2 linked regions of the Bombyx mori genome follow. The protein of the gene in region 1 purifies or fractionates together with the protein of each later gene. This does not show direct contact. Links are inferred from orthologs where the notes say so. Each region holds a gene or a part of one and is shown on either strand. Other genes may lie near its edges. The genes, in order: 3-phosphoinositide-dependent protein kinase 1 and Ywhae.

Evidence for each region.
Region 2: the proteins of 3-phosphoinositide-dependent protein kinase 1 (region 1) and Ywhae purify together in Homo sapiens (affinity purification with mass spectrometry; 3 studies listed by BioGRID and IntAct, with this or other methods). This does not show direct contact. The link is inferred for Bombyx mori from reciprocal best matches to the Homo sapiens genes PDPK1 and YWHAE.

Annotation. Positions count from the first base shown.
Region 1 is NC_085117.1:13,115,315-13,117,884, forward strand, and holds part of 3-phosphoinositide-dependent protein kinase 1, read right to left. Parts: intron 2,115-2,570; coding exon 1,856-2,114; intron 1,744-1,855; coding exon 823-1,743; intron 691-822; coding exon 413-690; intron 201-412; coding exon 96-200; 3' UTR 1-95. UniProt on the Homo sapiens protein: Serine/threonine kinase which acts as a master kinase, phosphorylating and activating a subgroup of the AGC family of protein kinases.
Region 2 is NC_085122.1:14,135,483-14,139,323, reverse strand, and holds part of Ywhae (14-3-3 epsilon protein), read right to left. Parts: intron 3,222-3,841; coding exon 3,058-3,221; intron 1-3,057. UniProt on the Homo sapiens protein: Adapter protein implicated in the regulation of a large spectrum of both general and specialized signaling pathways. Binds to a large number of partners, usually by recognition of a phosphoserine or phosphothreonine motif.

The sequences.
Region 1 (2,570 bases):
GCACACTCAACGAGTGGGGTGCTGTGATAAAACGCGGGGCCCGAGGGCCGCGGCAGCGTCGCAGGCTCTGCTCGGGTCTGCGGCAGCGCCGGCATTTAAGTCGTGTCGCGCCCATATGTTTCAATACGCACTTCGTCGATGACACGTTCCCATTCCAATGCGTAAGAATCTGGATCTTCTAGGTAATATGTACGATTCGGCTGCAAAAATATTATAACCAATTCAATATAATATGACCAGAAGATCATCAATTATATTTTGAAAATATAGTATGAAATAGTTTAAATTAATAAATTATAAAATACATAAATTATTTAATATGTACTGTATTTTTGTACACACAATCATAATTAATAATATCACAATTCATAATCATAATTATTACTTAAAAGCAATACTGTATTATTCTTACCGTATGTACTAAAAATATTCTGAAATTTTTGGCTTCAACGCGCAATTCTGGGGACCAGGGTATTTCCCCCTTAAGGATCATATTTGCTGGGTCAACGTAGAATAGTCGAGGTCCAGTAGTAAGAAGCAGCATCCGGCGCCTGGGAAACAGGCCCTTTCGCTTGTCGACAAGGCCCTGTTTCAGTATCAGCTCACCATCCACAAATTGATGCCATTTACTATCTCGGGCTTGAATTTCTAAGCGGCGACGTTTTTCTTCAGGGCTGATGTTCAATATACCTACAAAAAATAACCCTTATTAAATTTGGTAATTAATTATAATCAATCCTAGTTTATTATAAGTGTGTATGTTAGAGCTTCATTTATTTTCATAAGCTTAGTAAAAAAGTGTAAGTAGAGTTAAAAACAAACCTTTGGATGTCGATAAATCTATTCCCCAAAGACGCACTAGCTCTTTATTTCCAAGACCTGGTTCAAGATAGTCGGGCACATTATATTCTTCTTCAAATGAACCTCCTGGCAGGTATGGACTGATTTTCGGTGGAGTTTGCTCCCACAGTTTATCCCAGTCAACGCCTTCAAAGAAAGGATGATTGCGGATACTGTGGTACGTCTCTCCTTTATCGTCAGCTCCTATTCGCTTGGAATGATCGAGCACTAATAACTTTTCTACAAGGTCTTTAGCATCTGCTGGAAAACCTTCCGGAAATTCATAATCCATTTTGAGAATCTTTTGGAAAATTAAAAATTCCGTTGCAGCGCGGAAAGGAGGTAATCCTGATATCATCTGGTAGATAATACATCCCAAAGCCCACAGATCAGAAGCCCGAGTGTCAACACAATCGTGTAGTAATTCTGGACTAACATACTGAGGCGTGCCAACGAAACTGATTTTCCTTGAACGTTCATTTTGTGAATTATCATTTTCGTTATTTTTCGGAGAAGAGCTAATTTCTTTGGAATTAAGAATTTTTGCAGTACCAAAATCGGCTATACACAAATGCATGTTCTCGTCTAATAGTATGTTCTCCGGTTTTAAATCCCTGTGAATAATTCTTTGCGCGTGCATTTTCTCTAAAGCCCATAGTAATTCAGCGGCATAATGTTTGGCCACATTTAATTCGAAAGAGCCAACTTTATTGATATATGAAAGAAGTTCCCCATTCTTCGCATAAGATAATACAAAGTACAATCTCTCTTCATCTTGGAACGTACAATACAATTTAACGAAACCGTGGGGCACATTAAATAGCATATTTAAAGCGTCTTTTTCGCGTTTTATGTATTCTCGCTTCTTTTTTCGTATTATGTGATGTTTCTCACAGACTTTAACTGAAACAAATTAATGAATATTTTACTACTTTAGTTATGTAATGTATTATGATTATGATAAAATTAAATAATTTAACTTTAAAACTATCAAACGTGGTGTATGTACACTTACTTGCATATTCTTTCCCGGTGTGTATGTCTTTGGCTAAGAAGACTGTACTATAACAGCCGTCTCCTATTAATTTTCCGAAGATATAATCCTTTGCAGATCGCTTAGTAGTTTTGTGAGACTGGCTCGGTACCGGAGATGAAGCAGGGGCGGGGGCCGTAACTGTCGTAGCCGGTGAAGCCTGCATTTTTACCGGAGTTTCCACTATAGACTCAGCAGCCGCAATAGGAGCACGGACCTCACTAGACGCTCGACTGCCAATCTGTAAAAAAAAAGATTCCTTTTATACTTTTTTTCTTATTGGTTAACTGACGAAGTCCGTTTACGATGAGTGTAAGCAAGTGTTCTAAATCGAAGTTTCTTAAAGTGATTTAGAATAAAATTCACCGTGGATGATGCCTGGGTTAATAGGTCTTGTTTGTCAACAAAGTTCTAAAAATGAATCAGATTACTTTTGATATTTTAATCTGTCAAACTGACATTCTTTAGCATTAGTTTAGTGTTAAAGTCACAGCTTACGAAAGACTATTTTGTATGGATTATTTTTTGTTATTTAGTAAAAAAAGGACGAACATCTTTCCGAGCATACGCATACTACACATACATATATACTCTATATATAAAATTTTTAGTAACTGCATTTTAAATTCGAAAGAGACCGAAATTATATTTTAAATATCGTTGTTCTGATATTTTCTTTTACGCAGTTGTATTACAT
Region 2 (3,841 bases), on another chromosome or scaffold:
ACATTTGCAATTCATATTCCTCAATGTGCCGCAGTCGATCGATACGCAAATATCTATCTAGCCCGATGATCTTTTTGTCGTCATTAAATTTATTTCTTCTAGATTTCGATGCGAGATTTATCAAAACAAAGTTCAGTCAATTTTACTTAATAAAGATATTAAATTATGAAAATCCTTTGCGTGACAGGTACTGTCATCGTACGTACACTTTGATAGACTGCGGTTTTATATTTGACGATGTTTTTAAATTATCATCACAAAAGTTTACAGAAATCTCTCTACGATCAAAACTATTTCGATGGAAACTGTCAACAGGGCTCCAAAAATTTAGCTATTATAGTATGTATATATTTATATGTACTTAAAGACATATTTTTTTAATAAAATAAGAAATAGAGCGGCTGTACATAAAACTAAGTAGTCAGACAAAGTGCGTCCTTGACACTTTTTTAGGCGATTCGTCAACAACGCTGTTGAAAGTTGAAAGGTTGAAAGGTCCATTGTAAGTTTTTTAAGCCGGCTATTGAATTTACTTTAAAAAAGATACCTATTTAAGTCTAACCCACATTTCAGTTTCCCTATTCTGACATCGTCATAAAATTTATAAACGCTTATATGACCACATTTTTCAACAATTATTACTTAATGATAATATTAAGTGTGTAAGGGTATTTTAACATTTGGAATTAGATGATTCAGTCCGTGCGACTCCTATGAGTACTGGGCGTACCGCTGATGAAACAACTGACTATGACTCACTTTCCTCATTACACGCCGAGTTACAAACTCTCCAATTCCAGTTTTTTGTCTGTCGCAGTTAGTGATAAAAAATGTTATGTTTCTAACGGTTTCTGTCGATTTGAACGTGGCGATTTCTTAACAATGATCACAATAATATTTATGGGTTTTTTTATTAATTCTAATGTAATGAGATAATTTTGCTTATTCGCTTCAAGATGCGCATTTATTCTTATGTTGTCATGTCGCCACAGGAATTCGAACGGCACCTTTATTAATACTTCCATGGAACTTTTACCTCAATATTATATTGTCTAACTTGGAATATGACGTAAGTTAAATAGAACAAAACCATAAAGAGTAATATTTTTGGATTACGATTCAGCCCAAACTCTAGATTCACGCATGAATCAGACAAAATGATTCACTATTCGTGTGTCCTGGCAATGCAATTGTAACTTTAGTTGCGACTATTCATGGACACAAAGTAAGCCGAGCGACTGATATCGATCACCGGGGAATGCTTTGCGTGTGATTTAGATGCTTAATGTAATTATTCCTACAATTATTTGTTGTCAGTTTTTGGGTACGTACTAATTCCTATTCCTTAATTCCATAAATAAGCTTATTTTTTAGAATATCGAAGTAATTTGTAACATTTTTGAAGTTATGTTAACTGCGGAATTTTGTTAAAGAAATAAATTAATGATTTAACTAATCTTTTCGTCGTTAAGAACAAATTACAAAGCTCGCTGTCGTTAGATAATAAGAGTGCCTGAGCTCGGTGCGGGTTCGATAATTTTATAAGGTCAGACGGTCGGATATATTTAAATATGTAATAGAAATTCACAAAAAAACAAGCCAGCGACTTGCATTACACTTGTCGATAAGATTCAAATTGCGTTTATGAAGTTAACATTTAGTTGGCTAACTCTCGATTAGCTTGGAAACAACCAGGAGCCCCGACGGCGCTGCGGATCAATAACTGAAGCGGCGCGTACAGACGCGGTACAGACGTCGGCTGGCGATGTCAGGTTTAAATTGATTCACCGCAAATTGTGAAAAGGCTAATTTAACAAAAGTATTAATTCTAAAAAAAATGTTTGTCGAAAGGTACATTACAAATCGGAAAAAAACAACACTTATTTTATTTCTTCACTACATTTAAATGCGACGTGTTTTTTAGTGTGTTACTTTCTCGCAGCAATGGAGCAGCGTTTAAATAACAAATTCTGTACTTTTGCCTAGTATTAAAGAAGAAAGCATGATCAACTCATTGCTAGCTACAATAACACACAGATCAATGAATACAGAGTAAAGCAAATTAGCTGCTGAGATAAGCTATTAATTTTATCATTTCCCATTATTAGTCATTTTACTTAAAAATGTTTTTTAAGTGAAACTTCTTTAGGCGCGTTGAGAATAAAATTAAACTCGCGACAGATTCGTTGCGACTAGAGAGAAAACATATAATTTAGGAAGAGCGAGAGTGAGAAACAAGACAGCGTCTCGCGAACAGCTCGACCGTGGAGAGGAAGGGAACGAGTCGGCTCGTTTCCCTTATACACATTTTGTTTACGGGCGTCCGCCACTAGATGGCTTGTTATTAGTTTCTCACTGCTCTTGTAAATACTATCTTATTTTTAAAGAAGGATTTGAAAAAATAGTAATATTTTTCTATATATAATATATATAAATGGTGAAAAGATATACACAGCATTACCTATTACAAGAGAAATTTCATTTAACGATGAAAAATGAAGAAAACCGAAATACTAAACACCGCAAAAGAAGTCTCACTTCTTTCACGTGCACCAAGTTGCACGCGCACCGTTTTCTCCAAACATAAACAGTTGAATCAATCAAAAAGTAGTTTGATACTACATATGTATTGGGGAAGCGATCTCTCATTTTCCAACATTCAATTATATAATGTAAACATGTTCAACAATGACATTTGGTTAAGGGGCTACCACTAAATGATCAACATTGCTGTACTCAGATTTCTCTCAATTTATAATGAATCTATAGCTAAGACAGGTAAAATTCAGGAGTTCTCTGTATCATGAAACACTAAAAACATACACGCAGAACATATGTAAACTTTTATCATGAATCAATCTCATGATAAAAGTTATGAGGCCCTCTAGATGCATTAGATTAACAAAACAAGTCTGGATACCAAAATATGAGGTTTTTCTTCTAAACTCTCAATGCTTGGGTGATACTAAAACACAATCATCCAATTTATTTATCCGGGCTAAGCTCTGATTATGACAAGTTACATCAGCAGACAAGTAAGTGTTACACGAGACTCACTTTTGTTTCTTCCTTCTGTTCGATGGAGGAGATGATCCGCCAGGAGGCGCGGCGGGCGCCGATCACGTTCTTGTAGGCGACCGACAGCAGGTTCCTCTCCTCCACTGTCAGCTCATTGTCGGACACGTTGCGTGATGCTACATTCTTCATCGCCTCCACCATTTCTGAAAAATAGGATATATTATTCGTTTTAGTACATTTCTACCATATCTGGTACTTTACTGATGATAGGACCTCTTGTGAGTCCGCACGGGTAGGTACCATCACCCTGTCTATTTCTGCCGTGAAGCAGTAATGCATTTCGGTTTGAAGGGTGGGGCAGCCGTTGTAACTATACTTGAGACCTTAGAACTTACATCTCAAGGTGGGTGGCGCATTTACGTCGTAGATGTCTATGGACTTCAGTAACCACTTAGCACCAGGTGGGCTGTGAGCTCGCCATATTTATAGATATTTATTTTTCTTTTTATTATTGTTATTTAGGAGATTGGGCAGATATTTGCTCAACATTTCGACTTTTGATAATCTAGTATTTTCCTCAAACTTCAACTCATCATCTCAAAACAATGTCCATACTGTGGCGGGTATACAAGTTGGATTGATAAGGGACAAAAGGGCTTTGCCGCTAAGAGCTATGACCCTTCCGATGGGGACCTTGGCAACAGTAACCCTTTATCATCAGGTGGCAGCTCTTTTGTGTTCGTTACATAGCCTATAGGCATCTTGGTCTGAGCCATCAGACCAATCAACATAAGATTTTTTCCTCCCTAAAGCATCATCAAAG